7 linked regions of the Nothobranchius furzeri genome follow. The protein of the gene in region 1 purifies or fractionates together with the protein of each later gene. This does not show direct contact. Links are inferred from orthologs where the notes say so. Each region holds a gene or a part of one and is shown on either strand. Other genes may lie near its edges.

Evidence for each region.
Region 2: the proteins of chd3 (region 1) and smarcc2 fractionate together in Homo sapiens (co-fractionation; 3 studies listed by BioGRID, with this or other methods). This does not show direct contact. The link is inferred for Nothobranchius furzeri from reciprocal best matches to the Homo sapiens genes CHD3 and SMARCC2.
Region 3: the proteins of chd3 (region 1) and kpna1 purify together in Homo sapiens (affinity purification with mass spectrometry; 3 studies listed by BioGRID and IntAct, with this or other methods). This does not show direct contact. The link is inferred for Nothobranchius furzeri from reciprocal best matches to the Homo sapiens genes CHD3 and KPNA1.
Region 4: the proteins of chd3 (region 1) and mta1 purify together in Homo sapiens (affinity purification with western blotting; 7 studies listed by BioGRID and IntAct, with this or other methods). This does not show direct contact. The link is inferred for Nothobranchius furzeri from reciprocal best matches to the Homo sapiens genes CHD3 and MTA1.
Region 5: the proteins of chd3 (region 1) and mta3 purify together in Homo sapiens (affinity purification with mass spectrometry; 4 studies listed by BioGRID and IntAct, with this or other methods). This does not show direct contact. The link is inferred for Nothobranchius furzeri from reciprocal best matches to the Homo sapiens genes CHD3 and MTA3.
Region 6: the proteins of chd3 (region 1) and B-cell lymphoma/leukemia 11A purify together in Homo sapiens (affinity purification with mass spectrometry; 3 studies listed by BioGRID). This does not show direct contact. The link is inferred for Nothobranchius furzeri from reciprocal best matches to the Homo sapiens genes CHD3 and BCL11A.
Region 7: the proteins of chd3 (region 1) and cyclin-dependent kinase 2-associated protein 1 purify together in Homo sapiens (affinity purification with mass spectrometry; 6 studies listed by BioGRID and IntAct, with this or other methods). This does not show direct contact. The link is inferred for Nothobranchius furzeri from reciprocal best matches to the Homo sapiens genes CHD3 and CDK2AP1.

Annotation. Positions count from the first base shown.
Region 1 is NC_091742.1:58,681,412-58,683,592, forward strand, and holds the end of chd3 (chromodomain-helicase-DNA-binding protein 3), read right to left. Parts: intron 920-2,181; coding exon 657-919; 3' UTR 501-656; downstream 1-500.
Region 2 is NC_091743.1:50,346,100-50,350,251, forward strand, and holds the start of smarcc2 (SWI/SNF complex subunit SMARCC2), read left to right. Parts: upstream 1-1,352; 5' UTR 1,353-1,401; coding exon 1,402-1,512; intron 1,513-2,442; coding exon 2,443-2,562; intron 2,563-2,663; coding exon 2,664-2,749; intron 2,750-2,870; coding exon 2,871-2,952; intron 2,953-3,342; coding exon 3,343-3,435; intron 3,436-3,517; coding exon 3,518-3,587; intron 3,588-3,681; coding exon 3,682-3,751; intron 3,752-3,917; coding exon 3,918-3,993; intron 3,994-4,152. UniProt on the Homo sapiens protein: Involved in transcriptional activation and repression of select genes by chromatin remodeling (alteration of DNA-nucleosome topology).
Region 3 is NC_091747.1:50,442,547-50,446,815, reverse strand, and holds the start of kpna1 (importin subunit alpha-5), read right to left. Parts: upstream 2,801-4,269; 5' UTR 2,700-2,800; intron 2,458-2,699; exon of another isoform or gene 2,317-2,457; intron 2,090-2,316; 5' UTR 2,082-2,089; coding exon 1,956-2,081; intron 1,877-1,955; coding exon 1,763-1,876; intron 1,653-1,762; coding exon 1,553-1,652; intron 1,423-1,552; coding exon 1,328-1,422; intron 1,199-1,327; coding exon 1,067-1,198; intron 904-1,066; coding exon 815-903; intron 722-814; coding exon 622-721; intron 480-621; coding exon 316-479; intron 220-315; coding exon 141-219; intron 63-140; coding exon 1-62. Other genes in the region: nanos homolog 1, read left to right, coding at 3,776-4,246. UniProt on the Homo sapiens protein: Functions in nuclear protein import as an adapter protein for nuclear receptor KPNB1. Binds specifically and directly to substrates containing either a simple or bipartite NLS motif.
Region 4 is NC_091758.1:21,719,414-21,721,612, forward strand, and holds part of mta1 (metastasis-associated protein MTA1), read right to left. Parts: intron 1,525-2,199; coding exon 1,415-1,524; 3' UTR 1,390-1,414; exon of another isoform or gene 1,386-1,389; intron 1-1,385. UniProt on the Homo sapiens protein: Transcriptional coregulator which can act as both a transcriptional corepressor and coactivator. Acts as a component of the histone deacetylase NuRD complex which participates in the remodeling of chromatin.
Region 5 is NC_091756.1:43,855,651-43,859,150, reverse strand, and holds part of mta3 (metastasis-associated protein MTA3), read right to left. Parts: intron 2,500-3,500; coding exon 2,373-2,499; intron 2,236-2,372; coding exon 2,172-2,235; intron 1,428-2,171; coding exon 1,310-1,427; intron 1,156-1,309; coding exon 1,053-1,155; intron 592-1,052; coding exon 492-591; intron 411-491; coding exon 222-410; intron 1-221. UniProt on the Homo sapiens protein: Acts as a component of the histone deacetylase NuRD complex which participates in the remodeling of chromatin.
Region 6 is NC_091746.1:23,955,025-23,958,925, forward strand, and holds the end of B-cell lymphoma/leukemia 11A, read left to right. Parts: intron 1-909; coding exon 910-2,873; 3' UTR 2,874-3,401; downstream 3,402-3,901. UniProt on the Homo sapiens protein: Transcription factor. Associated with the BAF SWI/SNF chromatin remodeling complex. Binds to the 5'-TGACCA-3' sequence motif in regulatory regions of target genes, including a distal promoter of the HBG1 hemoglobin subunit gamma-1 gene.
Region 7 is NC_091746.1:75,840,991-75,843,654, reverse strand, and holds the end of cyclin-dependent kinase 2-associated protein 1, read right to left. Parts: intron 1,325-2,664; coding exon 1,198-1,324; intron 1,103-1,197; coding exon 1,035-1,102; 3' UTR 501-1,034; downstream 1-500. UniProt on the Homo sapiens protein: Inhibitor of cyclin-dependent kinase CDK2. Also acts as a component of the histone deacetylase NuRD complex which participates in the remodeling of chromatin.

The sequences.
Region 1 (2,181 bases):
TTCTAACATCTTGCATCTACGCTTGGTTGAGCTTAGGAATGCTACAGCGAGAGTCCACGGGGAGAAGTGCTTTAAATTTGGAAGACTTTTCTTTTTTTTCTTTCTGATGATCTCGATCCGGCTTTGTTCTTTCCGGGTTTCGTCTCCCTGCTCTCGGCACATTGACGACGTTTGTTGCAGGGCTTTATTTTGTGTGTGAGATCCAAAAGCGTGTGCGTGTGTGGAGATGGAGGAGTGTGGAGGAATGAGGGAGTACGGGGTCAGGGCGAGGGGACAGGCTTGTTCAGTCAGCCTCAGGATGAAGAATTGATCCGGGGGGGGGGGGGGGGGGGGGGGGGGGGTCTTTTGGCTCAGACGGAGAAACAGAAAAAAAACAAAAGAAGTCTTAGAAATCTGTGGAGAGAAAAGTGCTCCTTTGCTGCATTTGTTATAAAAACCCGTGAATGCATTAACGTATCGTTTTCTTTCTCAGAGCCTCTTTTCGGCAGCACCTTTTCCAGTTTTTTTCTTTGGATCTTTTAACTGATTGGCATTTCATGCCCTCTCACATCAAGCTGTCCTCCTTTTATGCTCTTCTCATTCCAGGAGTGTCTAAGTGCCTCGTTTGTCGATCCAATTCCTTCTTTTTTACAGTTTTGCTACATTCCCGATTTCTTTCAGGGTTTCTTTGGTCTCCCATTGCGCGGCAGATTCTCCACCGTGTTGCTGAGCCGGTACTTTACAATGATGCTGTGCACCGTGGACTTGGGCATTCTCAGCTCCAGCCCAATGGCCCCCTCTGACTTGCCGTCTTTCCAGAGGTCCACCACCCGCTGCCGCTGCACCACATCATGCTCCTTGGTCTTCTGGAAAACCCCAGCGGTGAACTGGCCCCCGGCGGCTCCACCTGCAGCTCCCCCGGTGGCCCCAGCAGCGGCTTCTGTGGGGGCAGACAAGCGGCAGACTGTAGTGGAGGCTGGGAGAGTGGAGGCAGCAGGATAATGAGACACTTTACAGGCTCCTGTAGAGATTTAGTCCCTCTGCAGGGAGGTCAGAGATAGAGCTACCGGAGCTGGTGGGGGCAGGTGCTTGCAGACCCATGCGCTTCACTCCATCACTTTAATTTAAGCACCTCTAAAAGACGAAGCTTTGTCTAAAAAAAGTGTGGGACTCCTTCAAGGCAGATACATTACTTCCTGATGGCAGAAATGGGGTTTCCAAAACTTGTCTGCAGATTTTGTGATACCCAACACAAGACAGTGTTTCTGCGGAGCGTTCAGTGCATTGTTGCACTTCACTGAAAATGCTACATCAGAAGATGATGTGATACCTTCACGGAGAGGCTAATTTCGGCCAACAAAAACAACCAAACAGCCACAAACTGACCTGTAAAACGTTGGAAGACACTTTCGTCATTTTTCAGCAATAAGAAGTGTGAAGCACAGTTAGCCATAATTGATCAAAGCCTGGGAGCAATGAACCTAGTGATTCTCTTGTGACTAGGATGCATTTTCATTACGAGGTACATTTTTCAGAGCAACACCAACAAACCCAAAGAAAGTTGACCCGGACATTACACTGAAGCCAGTTTCTCACTGGTCTGAGACATTTCAGCTGGAATCAGATTTAATAACAATGCGTCGTTATAAGTTTGGGTCATGTAAGAAAACTTGGTCACTAGCTCTTTCTCACAGGAACTGGACTGAGAACACCTGTGAGGAAAATTGTTGGGCTAAATATTTTAGATTTTTTTTAAGTGACAAATGCAAGGCCCTGCCTCTCGCTCGAGAACATTTGGAGACATTTTGGAAACTCCTTGGAGAACTCCTTTAACAATATGTGGTACAAAAGCCAAAACCTAGTTTATTTAGTTCATTTTTAGAGGATATTTAACTACAGAACATCTTACTTTTACGGAAAACAACACGGATGCCTGTACACTTAAATCTAAAGACTAATTCAGTTTGTTTTGTCTTTCTCTAAGCTAACATGGATACATTTTAATGTTCTCATTCACTGGGAAACCTTGTAAAACTTGTTCTTTATGGAATGCCACCAGTCACTTTGGGTTTCGCATGAATGCAGAATGTGAAAATAGTCCTACCTCTATTTCCTGCATTGGCTGTCTAAAGAAGATAGACGGAAAAGCGATAGGGTCAGAGAAAACCTTGCCCACCTTGGATTGCAACCGCAGAAGGTTTA
Region 2 (4,152 bases), on another chromosome or scaffold:
TACTACATAAAGTTAAGTTTTTACTGAATAGTTCTGATTGCTGACTTAGTATAACTCACTAATTGTTCCATATTTGAATTACTGTGTAGAAATATGGGGATCCACATGTAAAACTCATACACAACCACTCTTTATTCTACAGAAAAGAGCATTGAGAATCATTAATAACAATCACTATGGAGATCCATCCAATCCGTTATTCATCAAATATAAACTAATGAAATTTTATGATCTAGTGAAAATGAAAATATTGCAAACAATGTATAAAGCTAAAACCAATACGTTACCCACCAACATTCAGAAAATGTTTGAAAAAAGAGTCAGTAATTATTTCTTAAAGGAACTGAAGTATTTAAAAAAACGAAATTTAGAACCAGAATGAAAGAAATGACTATCTCTGTAAATGGCGTGAAGAAGAAGAAGAAAATATCATTTCTATAGCGCCTCTCAAGATAAAAATCATGAGGCGCTTCACAAAAACAAAAACTATAAAAAATTGTAAAAATATAAAAAATCACTTAGAAAATGTTTAAAAATATATTTAAAGTGAGCAAGAATAAGCAATTGAGAATATGGAACAACCTTAGCAAAGACATAAAAGAATCAAAGTCACTAAATATATTAAAAAAATGTATCAAATCAAGTGTATTACAGAACTACAATAACCTAAATTAAGTTGGTGTCTGATTAGGTCTGTAAGTTACAAGAATATATAATGAATCTGTGTTTTGTTTTGTTGTTTATTGAGAATTGTATGGAAGCATTATTAAAAAGTTTGGTTTGTCAATAGGGGTAGATAATGTAAGATATTTCTTCCTTCTGCCCCTTTTCATTCAAATTGTTTGGTGTTCATGTTTATGCATGTTTTTGTATGTTTTTTGTATATATATATATATTTTGACACTTTGAATGAAACAAAGAGAAAAAAATTATAATTATCAACAAATAATAGAAAAAATGGCTACTACAAATTTCAAAATGACTAAAAGTAAGTGGATTGTTTGTGTATGTGTGAATATAGTAATTATATTTGTTTTATTATTGGGTTTCTGGATAAAATGGGCTATAAAAAAAGCACAAATGGGAACATACATGAAATGCACAGTTTTATGCCCTTCCAGATCAAGTCTGTATGTGCAAATGTATTTTATCAGCAATAAATCAACGCAGCTCCACCTATTAATAAAATCACGATTATAAAAAGTGTAAATTGTGCAACTACTTTCTTACAAGCTGAAAGCAGGTTTTAAACTATGTTGCAGGATAAATTATTATCTGCACAACTCTGCCCCCTGCTGCTCGTCTGCCGTCGACACAGCGCTTTGTGCTATCAAGCTATTGGAGAGACGCCCTCTGTCCGCCAGGAGGCAGCCAACACCGACTGGTAGTCTGCAGGCAAAGATGGCGGTGCGGAAGAAAGACGGCGGCCCCAATGTAAAATATTTCGAAGCATCTGACACCGTTTCGCAGTTTGATAATGTCCGCGTCTGGCTGGGCAAGAATTACAAAAAGGTACTGAGCGCATGTTTTATAAGCGTGCTCACGGAGCTTTCTTATTTTGCCCAGAAACGTACGCGCTTACCTATGGAGGCAGAGGCAGTGACAAAGAGAGGAGGGAGGGTGCTGCTGAGCGTCCAGCTGTTTGATTCACTAAAAAAGGATGCTGAGCCAACCGCAACATCAGACGCGGCCGCAAAAGTCGGTGTCTGTAGGTCTTGCTGTAGCCAAAAGGATCCAAAGACACCACACAGTCCCGCCGGAGGGAGCGGAGTTTAGAAAAAGAGATATTTTTGGCAAAGCAGGCTAGCTAAGCTAATCGGCTAACGGTAACGCGGCTCACATCCAGATGTTGGCTGTGTGGCGCGCCTCTGGCTCTGGAGTCATGAGCGGTGTTAAATAACACTGACCAGCGCTTTATCACGTAGATTTAACAAAACATGGTGTTAATGATCAAAAAAGTCACAAGTATCCATTCATTAATGATGGATAATTGTGGAATTAATCACATTTTATTTAAAAAGATCTAAAGCTTTTTACGAAAGAAATCTAGTTTTCCTTGTCCACCGAAGTCTCCATTATCCAGTTACAATAACACACTTTAATAATGACTAGAATAAGAAACAAACAAATACACATATGTGAACACTGCTCATGTGTATAAAAGAATGCAGAGATTTAGGCAATAGACAGTTAATGAGATAGGATTCACAAAAGGACGATGGAATAAATGCTTTATTTATATAGTGTTGCTAATGTATAAAACACCCATATGAAGCGAGGAATGAGAAATATACTGAGTTTACCCAGCAATAATACTATATAAACTGATAAACATACAGATCCATCTACATTATTTACACCCATAAATAAAAGATGCATACACAGGAATAGTGATAAAAGTGAAACTTCCAGAGTTCCCATAAGTTTTTCCCATCTCCCCAGTACATCCAGGCCGAGCCCCCCACCAACAAATCCCTGTCCAGCCTGGTGGTCCAGCTGCTCCAGTTCCAGGAGGAGGTGTTTGGCAGACATGTCAGCAACCCTCCCCTCACTAAGCTGCCGGTATGTCACACTTATTTACCCCCACCCCTCTCTCTAACAGATTACTCACCCCTTTGCCCTCAGGCGATGTAATATGAAGCTGTTTTATTTTCTTTCTGCAGATGAAGTGTTTTCTAGACTTTAAATCAGGGGGGGCTCTCTGCCACATTCTGGCTGCTGCCTACAAGTTCAAGAGTGACCAAGGATGGTAAGAGCTTCTTTCTGACTGGTCTCATCATGCATCTTGAGTGAAATAAAAGTGGCAGTGCTCTGCTGCATTTAGGCTGTCCTGCTGTTTTGTGTGTAACTCCAGTTTAATTTCCTGGTAGGCGCAGGTTTGACTTCCAGAATCCATCGAGGATGGACCGAAATGTGGAAATGTTCATGACAATTGAGAAATCTTTAGTACAGGTGAGTTTTTCTCACTGATTTTATTCACCGTTAAGCTTTTAAAACTCATTCCTTGGACAGTTATGCTGTAATAATTGTTTTTCATCTTTGTCAGATAATTGTGGGGTTTTTCTGATTTATTCTAAACATTTAAACATTGAGGTTTTTGTTTCTTTTGTGTTTCTGCGAGTAGCCGATCTAAATAGGTTATCTGTGCTGGGAACGCTGCTTGTCTCCTGTTTTTACATCACGTTTAGGAAGTGTCTTTAGAATCAGAGTGGTGAGATTTAAAGATAGAAATAACAAAAGACAGCCTTTTCTCTGAATCAGACACACTTAAATGCTCATTTATAGGATTTGAACCATAAAACTAGAGTTACAACTTGAGCTGGTTCTCCTTGATTCTTGTAGAACAACTGCCTGAGCCGACCCATCATCTACCTGAGTTCTGACATTGAACCGAAGCTGCTTGGAAAACTGAAAGACATCATTAAAAGACATCAGGTTGGTTTTTGCATAGTTTTTTTTAAACAAAAGTGTTATTCTGCTGTGCATGTATAATCCACACAGCCTTTTTGTGCTGCAGGGCTCCGTGACTGAAGACAAGGCTTCCAGCTCCCACGTTGTGGTTCCCATCCCCACCAGTCTGGAGGAAGGTGAAGCCTTGTTATGTTGCTCAGCTCGGGTTTCTTATGAATTCTGCTGCTTTTCCACTTTAGTTCTAATACAACATGATATTTGTTGGTCCAGAAGAGTGGGTGCGTCCTGTGATGAAGAGAGACAAGCAGGTCCTCCTCCACTGGGGATATTTTCCAGACAGGTTGGTTCTGACTTGGCGCTTCAAACACAGCAGCGGCACACGCGTTTTTACCATTGAATGAGTCCTAAACGGTCTTCTTTGTGAGCTCACTGAACCTACACATTGCTCCTTGTGTGGTATTCTCACAAGCCTTGATGTGTATTTTGTTCCCTTCTGTTGTTTTTAGTTATGACACGTGGATTCCTGCAAGTGAGATTGAAGCTGCAGTGGAGGATCCTCCGAGCCCAGAAAAGCCCAGGAAGGTCTTTATTAGTTTTATTTCTAATCATTAGTTACTCGTATATATATATATATATATATATATATATATATATATATATATATGTATGTATCTATATACATATATATATATATATATATATATATGTATATACATATATATATATATATGTATATACATA
Region 3 (4,269 bases), on another chromosome or scaffold:
GACTCCTTTGGGCTGCTCAGGAGGTAAAGTAGGGACTGCAGAGCTGAACAGTTCAGGATCACCTGAAAGGATAAATAAAAATCAGATTCAAATCAGAACATTCATGTTTATTTAACAGTTTGTGTTGATGATGTCATTACTTGTGTCTGCAGATCATCGCCAGTGACGATGTTCCCAACAGCCCGCAGAGCTGGAGACACCACTTTATAATCAGAGTGCCTAAAGGGAAGGAGATGTGTGGATCATATGAAAGAATCTGGGACTGGACACACGCTTCTACAACACGCTGCAGAATAAAAAAGTTTCAATTCTTACATCAACAACTCCACTAGCCTCCGACAGACTCCTGAGTCAATAACAGCCTGGATTTTGTCATTAGGCCCATCAGATAGGTAGGACAGTGCCCAGCATGCATCAGCCAAGATGTCTGTGTCGTTAACAAACAGCAGCCAGGACAGCACACAGAGACATGGGGACACCTGGACGGGGCAAGGAGGAGAACATGAGGAGATTTAAGAGGAAATTTGCTTTTGGATTCAATTAGAAGACCATCCTGCCTGTGACCTTGAAATGTGCTCTGATGTGCAGTTGCCATAGCGATAGTATATCTTGGCAAATTACCTTAGCAAAGTCTGGGGGTGGGTTCTTTCCTCTACACAGGTTTGAGAGCGCCCACACGGCGTTCCTCATCATCGTTAGGCGATTCTGTTTGGCCAATAACCTAAAAGCGGGATTTAACAAAGCAAAAATTCCTAAAGATGCTGTTTTTTCCATTTTTATTTTCTAAAATTATACAAAGAGATCAATGACGTACTGCAGCAGGGAAGGCAGGATGTTGCAGTTGATGACAAAGTTTCTGCATTCTGTGCTGTCACCTGCTATGTTACCCAATGCCCACACTGCCTGAGGAGTGAAACAACTATTCATTTTAGACAACAAGCACTACATGAATGTATGATTTTGTATAACAAGAACATCACAGGCCAGTTCTTGCATGTTTTTGTTAAAAAAAAGTTAACAGATATAAGGTTGTTGATGCAGAAATAAGCCTGAAAACTCGACCAACCTGTTCCTGAACGTCTTCAAAATCTGAGCTCAGCATCTCTATGAAGATGGGCACAGCTCCAGCCTGGATCACAACCCGCGTCTGGTGGGATGTCCCTGAAGCAATGTTGGTCAGCACCCAAGCTGCCTCAAACTACAAAGATAATTACAAAAAAGGCTTAAATGTATTAAACCATGAGCAGAATTAGAGACACCATACAAGGCAGAGAGAGGATGCGGTCCAACACGAGGAGGAAATTTTATTTAACTTTGGGAAATAAACCTGCAATGTGCAATTTTCTCTCCTCTTCAGAAACTCAACAAAACACTCGACCACCCCCGGAGTGGCAATAACTTCGTCGATGGGTGGGTTGGGTTCTGCGCAAGAAAAACATTTGTAGGAATGTAACCACTAAATGTTTCAACTCAGGTAGTAAATCATGATGTTTTGAAACAGGGTGCATGGTTTAAAATGCACACATTTAAAAAAAGGAAAAAAAAAGCCAACCTTTTGAAAGAAGCTTCCTAAAGCGCTGAGTGCCTATCAACTGCTGCTCCGGAGAGCTGGAGAAGATCATCTGAATCATGTCATCAGAGATCACCCCACCCTGTGAGGTGACAAAATAAGAATTTATTTGACATGTGATTTTAAACGGTAGTAAAATAAATATATAAATAAAAAGAGTTGATTGCAGAAAAAGAAGGAATATTTTCCCACCATTAGTGGGTCCAGGTTGTTAGCCTGAGATTCCAGATAGCCACTATCAGCCATTCCATCATCCTCAAGGGTGCCCTCATCCTCCACAGTGGCAACATTCCTCCTTTTAAAAAGCTATAAAAGAACAAGATGCTTATTTGGTTGCAAATTCTGACATTTTATTCATTTACGGTCACATTAACCATTGACTTACTTGTTCATCCTTCTTCTGTTTCCTAAGTTGCAGGCCTTCCTCTTCCCTCCTCCTCCTCATCTCATCTGTGTTAAGAGACTTGTTTTTGTAGCTCTTGAGTCGTGCATTGTCCTTACTTTGACTCATAGTGATGCCTGAGAGCACAGAAATACCTATGATCGACACAGACTTGACTAGGATTAGGAGCCATTGTTTTAGCATAGCTGGATCAGAGCAGATCCTAATCTTGGTTTTAGCCTCCTTCATGAATTAAACGTCGCCCAGTATCCTCTGACAGTCATAGCAAAAGGTTGGGTGGATCACACTGCTACTTCAGCAGTCTCTTTCACAGTCAATGAGTAGATCATTCCTCTAAACAAACATTGCTTCAGCTAAAGTATTAAGAGACCTTGCTAGCAGGTTAGCATTCTCTGAATTTACTGCGTGGGCTGCAGGAAACCAAACATGTCAATTTTGGTGAAGAAAACCTGTCGAAGTCAACTGACACTACTAAAAACACAAGGTAGTACTACAGCAACGTACAGACAGGGTCAGGCTGCTTATATCACAGCGGGTATTAGCCTCCTACTCAACTCCGTAAGCTAGTGGCTAGCTGGATGTTAGCTTAGGTCGAGACCAAGCTTAGCACTGCGGACAGTCTGGCGTTTCCCAGATGTCTCTGGCAAAAATGGTAAAACATCTTGTCAATGTAAAGGCTTTCTAAACATAATAAATAAAAAAGTGTAAATGTTTTACTTATTTTACCTATCGGGTTGTGCTCGTAATCCCCTTGTTCGTTAGGCCACCGTTTGTACAGCCGTCACCGGTAAATAACTACGCATGCGCCTCGAGGCACGTACGAGGAGTCCTCGTACGCTTCTGTGGCCACGCCCACACGAGGCTTTTGTTTTGTAAATATGACGCTTCCATTGATTAAAAGGGTGAAAACGTCTTCAAAAGTGAAAGTGTAGGTCAAAAGTTGAACGTGTTAAGGTTCAGAAGCCAAAAGAGTCATCCCACTCACAATTAGGGGTTGACAGATTTGTTTTAACTTCAAAGAGCGATGCGTTCTGTCAGTTTTACTGAACATTTTTCAAACGGTGCAGGTGTTTATTTTGAAGTGTTTTAGATGAGACACTGAGGCGCCAAGGATCATTAAGGGGTTAACGGTGGGTCGGCAAGGTAGCCACACATGCACATAAACACACAGGAACACACACATGCACACACACTGATCACAGTGTATGCAAGACATTTTCACCATCACTTATTATTGTTGTTTTCATGTTTTGCTTTTGTGATTTGTCCTTAAACTACATTTACAAACTTAGGCAACACATGCAATTACAAAATCTAAATATTAACATCTAAATGTGTCACAGGCGCAAATATCGAAAAGCGTGCACCAGAGCAAAACAGGTGCACCTTTTTAAAGTTTGGAAAAAGATAAAATATGCGTTCATTTATAATTTTTAATAATCAAATTTTTGCACAAGTATTCAAAAATAAAGATCATAAACATCTTAATCCACGGACTACTCTGTAGTAAAGTCATTGTTTATATTTTGTTGATTGGGGCTTCAGGAAATAACAATAACAACATTCCACAGATTGTAGTAGGCCTACATTGTGAAAAATATTTACCTTTGCACGTGTTTTAACATTTTTTTTACCTAAATAAATGCAACTGCCCTTAAGTGTTCAAACAAAGCCATTACCCTGCACAACCCAAACACCTGCAAGACATCAACATTGTTGCAATTTAAAACGACTTACTGGCGCCTATAAATATGCAACGATGCTCTCTAACGCAAACCATTGCACATTTTTGTTCCATAAAGATGCAAGGTGGGGTGGACGTCCAGAGCTCGTTCCTGCACGGTGGCGACTGCTTCGACATGTGGCATGATTACATGAACCTGAGCAGCCTTCTGGAGAAGCGCGACCAGAGGGAGGTGGCTCCAGAGGAGCCCGAGAAGGACCCCCATTGGCGACACCTCCAGACCCCATCCAGGCGCAGGACTTCCAGCATCTCCGCAGAGACTAGTTCCAGCAGCAGCAGCAACAGCAGCAGCAACAACGGGGCTTCTGCAAGCAGCTGCAGTTTCTGCAAGCAGAACGGAGAGTCTCCTAAGGTGTACCGGTCCCACAAGCTCAAATCTGACGACGGGAAGGTGCTCTGCCCCGTCCTCCGGAAGTACACCTGTCCCAACTGTAAGGCCACCGGGGACAGAGCGCACACACGCAAGTACTGTCCTGGAGACAAGCGGCAGGAGGCTGCGAGGGTGCTGTCCGGATTAAAGTTCTGGTAGCATGATGCTGTCAGCTGGAACAA
Region 4 (2,199 bases), on another chromosome or scaffold:
ACCAGCACATGTAGCTATGAGCTAGCTGAGCTAACCGAAGCTAATGGAGGTTGGCCAGAAAACTGCGGTTGAGTGTCTCCGCTACCCTTTGTCTTCAGCATGTGCAGCACATGCAGAATTAAACATGTATGTTGGTGACATAAAGAGAGACAGCAATAGGGATGGGCCAACTTCCTGCACCAGTCATCGCTAATCTCTGCTTCACCTCTGATGTCTGCTATGTAATTGAACAGGAAATGTGTAAATGTGTCCATTTCCACCATAAACATGTTGAAATCCACAGAAAATGATGTTTAGATCTGTTGAGAAGACACATTGATCTACTAGCGTTATGATTGCAGTGGATAAACAGAATGGCACTGCCTCCTGTGAACACACATTACTATCTGACTCTCCAAAGCTAAGCTGAGAAGTGCTCACGCCTGCTTCCAGATGCCAGTGAGGATTCTGTTAGCCTTGCAAGGTTTCATACGATTTGGTGAAAACAGTTTTACACTCAAGTGTTTCTAGTATCAATTTTCCAGTTTTCTTTCTGTATTTGACTCAGTTTATATGTCTTGTCAGCTCCACGAGAGAGAAACGCACACAAACTGGCGGAAACGTTTTGCTCTCGGACTTCTCCGTCTCCTGGAGAGTGCTGCGAAGCAATTCCCCGCCAGAACAACGGAGGGCGTAGCGCTGTTCTGTGGTATCCGGTCCACGATAGTACATTTACTATTGTGTTTATTGTGTTTTTGCATTTCAGAGACTTTTTAACAGACTAATGTGTCCCTCATTCTCCTCCACCTCTTCATGTGCTCGCCCCCTCTAAACCCACGTTCCCCTTCAGTCCCATCCACGAATAAAACGTTTGCTGCGTATTTCTTTACTCCTACAGTCACGGGTGAATAAAATGTTCATATTTTTAGTTTTTCCGTGAGGTTTTCTTCAAGCTGCTCCGTATCTGTTGCTAGATATCTTCGGCTCTCTCTATGTTTTTGAGGGTGCATGGGCGGCGCTGTTGACAAAAGCGGTGTCCAGACCAATCACAAGCTTGCATTCTTTGTCTCATTTGACGGATGTTTATAAGTGGGCTTGACTTCATCCGTCCTTGCGAGCCTGCTGGAGAGGCCTTGTGAGGATGGATAATGACGTTGTGTGTCTCCGTACCGACTCATATGCATAAACTAGGCATTAGTCTGGTTTATGTTTTATGTCCATTAAACTGGAACAAACTCCCCTTTTTCTGGCAGAGCACATCTTTATATGTTCCTTTAAACCACCTCTTAGAAGGTAATAAACCTTCTGCTTTCATAAACTTTAATTCCTACTTATTATGTTATCATACTGGATGAGTATTTATAAAGGAAAATGGACCACACAGAAACCAGTCAGACCCACCAGTCTCACCTCAGTGGCGCTGGCTCCTACAGACTCAGTCCAGCTCATGAACTTCATCCTGCAGTGAGGCTGAGGGCCGTCCTGCATCTCCAACGCGTTTGGCCATGATGTCCCACTGTGGAGTCAATGCTTTGGATTTGGTACCTAAAAACAAAACGGAGCAGGAGACTTGATGCAGCTGAACACCCAAACAATAACTCACAAGCCCCCTGGTGGTTCCAAGTGAGAACAACTCTTTTGTTATCAGAAACAAAAAATAACAGGAATAAATAAAAGTTTGGAGTGTCCCTAAAGACAGACGCAGAACTTTTCAGCATCTTTAGACATGTCCTCCTATCTGTCTGTGATCTAGGCGTTGGTTTAAGGAGAAGATGTTGATCTCTAAAAGGCATCAGGAGGCGCAGAGAGAAATCTCTCTTCAGAGCTGGAACTGTAGACATGCACATGGATCCTTGTGATTAATAATAATAATAATAATACATCAGACTTATATAGAGCTTTTAAGGACACTTAAAGACGCTTACATGCACTCTCACATTCACACACTGCCGGTGATGGTAATCTGCTACGTAGCCACAGCCCTGGGGAGGTCTGACAGAGACGAGGCTGCCTTTTGGCGCCGTCGGCTCCTCTGACCACCACCAACACAGGCAAGTTGAGTGAAGTGCCTTGCCCAAGGACACAACAGCAGAATACCCCTGGTGGGCGCTGGAATGGAACCCATGACCCTCCGATCATGAGGAAACCTGCTCTACCTCCTGAGCTACTGCTGCCCCTTTAGACATGTAAATAAACATAGTTCTATGAATAATAACAATG
Region 5 (3,500 bases), on another chromosome or scaffold:
ATATCCCAGCTTTGTACAGTACCGGGTAAAAAAAAAAGAGCTCAAAAGAATCGGTCATCCCCTAAATGTTGGAAAGGTGAGATTTAAAATGGCCAAACGTGTCCTTTCACAGAACAACAGCTTCAATTGACACAATTACAATGAAATATTCCTGCAACATAATACGTCAAATGCTGTTTATGAGCATGTCAATCATCATGAGTTCACTAAAAAATACTTACAAAGTCTTGTCGTATGTCATTGAAGTCTTTTCCATATTTCTCTAAAGCCTCCTCAAACATGGCAGCTTCCGAGGCGCTCCACTCCTCCATCTCGTCCCTGCAGAGCACTGGACCCCCCGCTGGGACCAACACACTCAGAGCGCTGGACAGATCGTAATTGTGACGATGCAGCGTATCCATGGCGTGGAACTGAAACCGTGGAAAGCGGGTTAACATCCATGAATCAAACTCTGATCAAGTGGGTGCAGAGTGAAAGCGGCTCCAACTCACCAGTGTGATATCTCGTGAGGCTGCAGCTGCACTCATGTGTAGGCTGGGCTGTCTGACTGAACTGCTGCAGTCCAACGCTCTGGCAAAGGTCCCAACCGCCCTGAAAGCAGCAACCACCAACACACAGGAAACGCAGAACATGTATCAGTAGTTCTTCTACAATCCCATCACCTTTTTCATAAACACAACCTTAGAGGTGTAAAAATATGTTTTATGCAGCATGAAGCCTAACCTGATACTGCTTATGGACCCAAGGCTGAAAATAATATCAAACCCCCCTTTTAACTTTTTCTGGAAGTAAAATGCACGTGTAGTTATCTCAAACACGTGCATTTTTACTGTTAGTCAGAAGTTCAAAGGATTTGCTGCCTCTTAGCCAGGACTTTCCTTGCAAATGAGGTTTTTAATCTCAATGGGACCTTCCTGGTTAAATAAAGAATAAATAAATACATTTTATTCAAACAGAGATTGATGAGGTCACAATGGGCTAAACATCCTCTGTTTTTAGTTTGGTGAGAATTCTCTCAGGAAGCGGTCTGCAGCAGGGTAAAGGAGACCTACCGTGCCACCACTAGGAATTGATCTATCTGTTTGTCGGTGAGAGGACACTCAGGGTCCCAGAGTTTCTCTTCTAGTTTGGACTGGTCCCTGTCATCTGCCTCACCTGCAAAAACACAGGAAGTACCTCAGAGAATGCACAGAAACATATTTGCATATTAAAGAGGAAGAGAAGGATATATAATATGATCATATCTGCTTTTTGTGTGACTCATTTCTATCAGATTATTGTTGGATTGGCAGAAAACTGTACATCGTACCCTCCTGTAGCATTTCAGGCACGTCTGCCTGAAAGCGTGGTCCCACTCTGATCTCTCCTTTGTCAGCTAGCAGAGTCTTTTGTGTCGGGTCGTACACCAGTGAGTAGAAGAAAGTATCCTGACAAACAAAAATAAATAAATAAAATTTATTATTTATGAAGTCAAGAAATCACCATTTGACAAGCTTGGTTACAATGTAAGAAAATGTTGATATGCTGAAATGCCACAATTATGCATTTTATCAAACAGAACCGATATTTAAAAGCTGTGAATCCATACTTTGAGAAATAATATGCAAAAGCTTACCGCATTTCATTTGTGAGGTGCAATTCACACTCCGACTGCTAGGTGGCAGCATCTTTTACCGCCATCATTCTAACTAACAAGATCTCACGATAATACCAGAAGCATCTTAGATGTAGGTAGTAAAATTTTCATTTATCAGCTTTTAGTATCGTAATATATGGTATTGTCCCTGTATTGTGATAACTATTGTATCACCACATTCCTGCCAATATACACCCCAAATCCTTAGTATTGATGCTCATTTCAATAAATATGTGTGACTTTTAATCTGAATGTATTAAACTACATAATTACCAGTATATTAATTGGTTGTTTAATTGGTTTCATCTGGCACTTAATCACCTCAGAAAATAAACGAACCCTTTGGATTTCTGCAAACTTCAAAGAGGTTTATATTCAGTGATCACTGGGTGTAGTGCAATGCGTGCAGTGACTGTAAACTCCGTTCACTTATTCAACTGAACCCAGAAGAGTTTTCTGTGTAGTTTAGAGCAAACCTGCTACATATGATGTGCTCCAAAGTAAACAAACATCCTTTTTCACCCTTCAGGCTCACCTCTTTGTCAAGGTATGAAAGAACGGCTTCAGTCTCGTTCAACAATGCCACACTGCACTTCCCCCTGATGGAGAAGAGAGAAAAGGAGGCCCGTAGCATGTAAAACACGGACAAAAGAAAGTGGGCAATGATGCGTTTGTGGCAAAATGACCACCCGTGGGTTCTGCCTGCAGACGACATGCTGCCCTTTAAGTTTAATACCTAATATGCGTCGCAGGTAGGCTCTCATACTGTCGGGAGAGGAAGAGCTCTCTGTGGCGAAGCTGGTGTTTCTGTTTTTCTGTTAGTTCTGTCTCTGTGGGGTTCTCCTTCTCCTCTTCCAATTCCTCTGCAAAAGTACAGAGAAACAAATTACACCAGAAAACATGCTGAGAAATTCTCCCATTTTGTTTTAAAATAAATAAAAAATAACTACAAAGCACACAGATAAATCTAAAAACTGATTAAACTCAAACATTTATCCCTTTGGTGCGGTGTGACATTAGATAATTAAAGGTTAAGACTAAGAATAAACATTTACCTCATGGATAAGGAACATTTGTCCACAACCATAATGCTGGTTTTCTATATTAGTAGAGTACCATCAATCATATTTTGATTTAAATATTACAAACTCACTAATCCTCTTAAACAGCCATACTTCCTGTTTTCAGACACAAATATTACAAACCTTTTCTTCTTTTTAAAATTGGGACAGATTTTCCTGAATAGATCAAAAAACTAAACCTCAAATCTGTCACATTTCAACATTTTGAGAAAAAGGAAAAGTAGCTGAAGAGTTTGATGTATAACGTGTGTATGGTATGTAAAAGTTTTAATTGTAAAAACCGAAAGATAATTTCTGATATTACATTTTAATACCAATATTGATCTAATATTACTTCTTTTCTTTTAGTAAGAAACGTTGTGGCTAGTAGTTCATTTCTTACACAGTTTAGTAAAAAGTATTTGTTTACCTTTCATGTTGAATCCCTAGTAATTTCTTAGTTTAAAGTTATGGTTGTATCCTTGACTGGTAGGCCTGGGAACCTCTGGGTACCTCACGATACAATACGATTGGCGGTACAGGTCTCACGATACGAAAATATCACGATGCAACGATATTGCACAAGTTAGCCTACAATAATCTAAGGCATTCGATCAGGTCAACCACTCTTAAGTTCTTTTGTTAATTGAGTGAAATAGGTGTCCCTGGTATCATTGTGAGGATTTTGGCATATTGGCAATTCTAATCAGACAATGCAAGTGAAATGGGGCAATCCCACATCAGCCTCCTTAGTTGTTAGTAACGGTGCACCAGGGGGGATACTGTCACCTGCTCTATTCAAC
Region 6 (3,901 bases), on another chromosome or scaffold:
CCCCTCTTCCCCTTCTGCCGGTCCCTTGTTCTTCCCCAGCACAGTATGGCCATGGCTTTTGGGTTCGGTGTCTGCAAATGACTTTAGAAGAATGTCCTTCACTGGAAAGAAGAAAGGAAAAGAAACGCCAAAGATGAAAGAGGGAGCACATTTGCAAGTGGCGGATGTGTCTTATTTTGCATAGCTCTCGCTTCTGCTTTCTTCTTCTCTTTTTCTATTCACCTGAGCGGATTTAAATAAATCCATGAAGCGTGAAATATCAGAAATAGAAAAGTAATGCATGAAATGCATTTTCAAAAGAGTCTCCCCTCCCACACACAAACAGGCGTAGACAGTTCCTCCACGTGTTTCGTTTTCCCGTGGACGGGTGCTTTTTCTGATAAAAACCGCTACAGTTTATTAGCGTGCGACCTCTTGTTGGCGTTCTGTGCTAATAAGCAGCGTCCCATACATGTCCTACTTTAGCTTGGCTAATTCTGCAAACAAGGTATTGGAGGGGAGATGAGTGTGTTTAACCAGATTAGGCGTGCATTGTCAGGCAAATCTCAGGTCAGCCCACAAGTGCAATTGAAAGTCAATTACTGTCTGAGTGATTTCCACGTTGTTGCTGTTGTCTGTTTAATCCAGAGTTTAACAACAAAATCACACTTGTTCGTTGTAAATATTGGTTTGTGTGACAACACCACTGAAAATGTGCGTTTACACCGAATTCCACTTTAGTCATTCGTTATGGAAATCAAATATGATGAATTTAGAAAAAAAGGTGGAAATGAATGATTTTGATGCTGTTGTGTGATTTTTCAAATCTTTTCATGAACAAATCTGCAACCATGTTGGAATGTGACACACCTGCTTTGTCTTGCATTGGTTTAAATTTAGGTTTTCTCTGTGTGTCTCCTTTTGTGACAGATAAAGATGAGCCCAGCAGCTACACCTGCACAACGTGCAAACAGCCCTTCACCAGTGCCTGGTTCCTGCTTCAGCACGCCCAGAACACCCACGGTTTCCGCATCTATCTGGAGAGTGAACCTGGCAGCCCCCTCACCCCTCGTGTGGCTGCGGCTCCTGGGATGGGGGGCGATTGCGCCTCCTCCCAGCCTCCCCTCCACGCTGTGCACTTGGCCGACGGCAGCCCTTACAGCCTTCTGAAGATGCCGGGTTCTGGGTCTGTCCGGGATTCGGCGTCTACACCTCGCGAGGGTCGATATCCCAGGACACCCCCGCTGTTCAGCCCACCACCACGTCACCACCTTAGCCCCGATGACCTTGCCTTGGCAACCCACCATCCTAGCGCCTTTGACAGGGTGATGAGGCTGAACTCGGTGCCATTAGAATCCCCTCAGAGCATGGACTTCTCTAGACGCCTACGGGAGCTAGCCGGCAATGCCACTGGAGGTTCTCCGCCTCTGTCCCCTAACAGACCCAACCCTATGCAACGGCTGCTGCAGCCATTTCAGCCAGGTTCCAAACCTCCATTTACAGCCACGCCTCCCATGTCCACCTCCCAGTCCCCTTCTGGATCCCGCTCTACCCCTAATCCTGTATCCAATGCAGTCCAACCAGGCACCCCCGTCAAGTCAAAGTCTTGCGAGTTCTGCGGGAAGACCTTCAAGTTCCAGAGCAACCTTATCGTGCACCGGCGAAGCCACACAGGGGAAAAGCCTTTCAAGTGTCACCTCTGTAATCATGCCTGCACACAGGCCAGCAAACTAAAGCGCCACATGAAGACGCACTATCAAAACAAGTCTTCGGCGCTAAATGCCAAGTCAGACGACGGCCTCTCCACCGCCAGTTCTCCTGAACCTGGCACCAGTGAGGTGGTGGGCAGTGCCGCGGATGCCCTCAAGTCAGTGGTGGCCAAGTTCAAGAGCGAGAACAATGGTCTCATGACTGGAAATGAAGAGGAGGAAGATGAGAATGAGGAAGAAGAAGAGGAGGAAGAAGATGAAGATGAGGAGGAAGAAGAAGAGGAAGAGGAAATGGATAGAAAGCCTGATGTAGAAGAAGATGGGAGGAATGACTACCGTTTCAGCCTGCGGTTAGAGGGGGCCCGTCACCACCAGAACACTGAAGCTCTACACCCACATCGCCGAAGCTCGTCCCGGGAGCCCGTTGATGACGACTCAGCCGTGGAGTTGGATCGTGGAGACGATGGCTCCACCACCACCCTCAACGGCCTGGGACCGTTAAATAATGACAAGCTCTCCAGGAAGCTTTTGGGTGGTGGGATGAGTCCTGACTCCATCAGCTCACTGTCAAAGCGCATCAAGGTGGAAAAGGACCTTGACCCCCCAACGCCCACCATCCCAAACACAGAGAACGTCTATTCTCAGTGGCTAGCTGGCTACGCGGCTTCTCGGCAACTCAAGGATCCCTTCATCAGCTTCACAGGTGGGGACTCTAGACAATCACCCTTTACATCCTCATCCGAGCACTCAGAAAACGGCAGCTTGCGCTTCTCCACTCCGCCTGGTGAGCTGGACGGTGAGCGAGCCGCCTCAGGACGCAGCGGCACCGGCAGCGGGGCCAGCACTCCCCACGGCGGCAGTGGGAATGGCAGGCCGAGCTCCAAGGACGGTCGCCGCAGCGACACCTGTGAATTTTGTGGCAAGGTGTTTAAAAACTGCAGCAACTTGACAGTGCACCGCCGCAGCCACACTGGAGAGCGGCCGTACAAATGCGAGCTGTGCAGCTACGCGTGCGCCCAGAGCTCAAAACTCACCCGCCACATGAAGACCCACGGACAGATGGGCAAGGACGTGTATAAATGTGAAATTTGCCACATGCCTTTCAGTGTGTACAGCACTCTTGAGAAACACATGAAGAAATGGCACAGTGACCGCCCTCTGGCTAATGACATTAAAACTGAATAGACAAAGAGCAGTTCTCCTTCAGCTCCCCCGGCTAGAAAGCAACCCTGCCTAACTAGCCAACAAGCATGTGGGGGAGAGACCACAGGGTCAGACACCAGAACACAGTGCAGCCCTGCTTTCATCCTCTTCTGGAGAAAGCTAGATGCATGATCCACGATCGGGGCAATACTGATGCATCACAACTTTTTGAGCCTTTCTATTGTGCAATAATTTACACATTTTTGTATTTTTTGTAACTGGACAGCATGCTTGGTGTGTTTTGGCTACTTAGAGAGAGCAGCTTGTCCGTGGCTGGTGTGGGTTTGGTTGTACATGTGTTGCTGTTGATACTTTAGGTTTTTTTGACATAAACAAAAAAAAAGATTAGTCTAACCCAAGCTGCGTACGGTACACACAGTTTTACATATCATGTGCAGTTTTGTGTTCAAACATAGCAGACGGTGTCATATTTTCAAAACATCAAGACAAGCAGGGTTAAACATAAATCCGATCCGGGGTTTTCCCCCAGAAAATGAGTTAAGCCTGGCGGAGGGGGTGGGGGGTCGCGCGCTCTGTCCCGCAGCGCTCCTCCGTGAGGGTGGGGGTGGGTGCACACGTTCCGCTGCTGTTTCTCACCAGTATCAGCTGATGGAGGGCTCTAGTTTCGTTGCGCCGTTCGTGTCAGCGGACACAGTAGGGTCGGGGGAGGGGTGGGGTGGGGCATGAGGCTTAGCCTGGCGGGTGGCCAAGCAAAGCCTGGCGGGCCGCCAGGCTTATAAAGTGCTGGGGGGAACCCTGCGATCTTTGTGAAAGAATTACAATGCAACACGGAGAAGAGATTTATCTATCTAAATGTACATAGAAAATCGGCTGCCTATTGAATTTTAGGTACTGGCGCCATTACGTGTTTCTTTTACGAACATCAATGAAATTAATAATGTGGTTTGAAATGACAACAAAGAGTGCCTTGGATACTTTACTTGCATTAGTTAATCCTCCTTTTTGCTATAAGCTTGGAGTTTCAGCTCTAAAGGGTTACAGGACATTGT
Region 7 (2,664 bases), on another chromosome or scaffold:
TCTGGTAAAACCTTAGCACTGCATTTGAATTTAAATCTGCCATTGCTATTGGCTAAGAGGTCCACTATGATGTTAGATGGTACATTATGATGTCACAATGTCATGAGTGTGTGTATTTGTTAGCGGCTCCATCCTCTTGGTCTGCTAGGCAACAGCATTTGTTGCATTTTTCAAACAGGAAGTGGGAGTTGAATAAGAATCTGGTTGGGGGTGACTTGTTCTTTAAAAAAATAATTCAAACGACCATAGATTTTTAAATCTAAAGTCAAATTTGAGTAAAATCCGTTATAAATAGTAATAACTTTACTATTTAGGTCAAGTTGATCCTAAACTGTGGTAAAAACTCCATTATGTCTAAACATGGTTGGTACAAATGAAGCTGAAGCCACTGAAATCATTGAGTTATAGCAAAGTGAGTTCTAGTTTCACAAAGGTTCTGACCCGCCCGTGTGCCAAGAACCCAATTCATTTAAAACGAAAACACAGTGAATGACAATGTCCACTGTACTGAAAATACAATTTATTACACTGAGTAATAAATACATACAAAGATGCAAGTTACAGCATGTTCCTTTTCTTTGTTAATACCAAAACCAACTTCATCACAGATGAGCTGATGCATTTGGCACATCACTCAACTCAATCGTGTGTCAGAGGATCTGAAAATCAGACCGAATACCAGCAACAAAAGAACAAAAGAAGTCTTTTCCATCTACTTCTGTACAAGCCATGCAGTGTCTACAATTAACCCACAGGTCCGCTCGCATGCAAAAACCAATGATTTAGATATTAAGTCAAACCAATATCCCAAAGTGGGGCATAAAACACAACGTGCCTTCTCAGCGGATTCCCATTAACCCATTCACATGGTTGGAATGATCCTCCTTAGGCATCATTTTGTTTCTCCTCTAAAAACTTGCTTTTCCATCCTGGTTCATTTATATCCTCCTTGCAAAGTCGATGCCATGCAAGTTTTGTTTTGAATTTTTTTATGAAATGTAGTTCTTCTTGCAGGGAGGAATGTGCCTTTGCAGCTAGGATCTTGCATTTCTCTCCGTTTCAGCCAAGCATTCACGCACCAGCCCTCTGGCGTGAATTATGCCTAAGAAACAAACAAACGCATTTAGATTCATTCATACATTTTGGCACTTGCAGCGCTTTAATTCACCCGTTTCCTCTCAGGTTTTTCTGATTCACCTCTTTTCAGTCTCTCCATTGCACTCTTGCTTCCAGCATATGTGGGTCTGATTTCTTTTCCAAGCTCTTCGATGATGGCCAGCAGCTCTGCGTATTTGTTCTGAGGTACTTGACTGCCAGTAGAGCCCTGAAGTTGGAGCAAAATAAGTAATTTTAAACTGCTTTACATTGCTAGTTCTGCAAATTAGAGCAATATTTTATGGAAACAACTAAGGCTGCACAATATTAAAACATTAGATTTAAATGAAAGGACAAGGCCATAAAAAAATCACACACAAAAACAGAAAACAGATGAAAGATCATTAAAATCACAAAAGTCATTATACAGATTTAAGTAAAAGCAAATTTAAATACAAGGGTCTTTTAGTGTTTCCTTTGCTTCAACACACCTGGTTTGAGTCAGAAAATGATTAACAGGCTTCTACAGAGCCTGATGAGCTGCTTAACAGGTGATTCAACCATCAAATCAAGTATTTAGGAGCAAGGAAAGAACTAAAACATGCTGGATATCGACCCTCTGGGTAGGTAGTTGCCAACCTTAGCTCTAAACATTAAATGTCTATGTTGAATTTGGTCTTAAATGGGTTCTAGAACAACTTTAACAATAATAAACTGTTCTCTGAGCCTCTACATATGAAACTTTGTTGGGGCTCACAATGGCCCAAGAGCCCTGATTAATTAGCCTGGCAAGCCAGACTAAATAAATGTATTATTTAGTCTGGCCATGCTCCATTGACGGCTCTCGGTTGTGGGGCGGGTTCTACCGTTGTCTTTTAAATGATCTCCGCATTCCACTGCAATGAATGTGACATACTCTTGTTTCACTCTGTTGCATCATCCCACCCACCAGGCATATAGAGTGCCCTGATTGGCCCACAAAGCGGATAAAGCTCTGTGATTTATTCACTAAGCAGATAGAGCACTATGACTGGCCCACCATTATGGACCAATCACAGCTCTTTATGTGTTTGAAACCCCTCTAGAGAGCTGTGATTGGCTAGCCAGAGTCCTGGTAGGAGCTGCTGAGGTTCCAGTGGAGCGTGCCTAGACCAAACTTTGCAAAGCAAGAATTTGGTCTAGTTCACTAGGCTACTGATTAATAGCACAAAGCCCTACAATGGAAAGACTGGTTAACCTCACCCACTCAAAATGTTAGCAATCTCTTTTCTACCATCTCTAACTGTAGCAAAGCCCTCAAAGTCTTGAGTTTTGCGACCAATCTTCCCTTGTTACTTTATTTTGAAGTGACCGGACGCATGCTTAGATATATAAGCCTTTATACGTGCATCTCTTTAGGTTCATGTAGCTTCAGGTTTATGTTCTGGGTTCCTCTCTGCAGTATGTTGCTGCCCGAGGAGCAGCACCGGGATGTTAAGTGTGTGCGTGGATGAACGGTAAGTGCTTGTCACCATTGGGTTAATTTAGGTTTATCAGATTTGTTCTGTATTTCCTGTGACGAGAACGTTG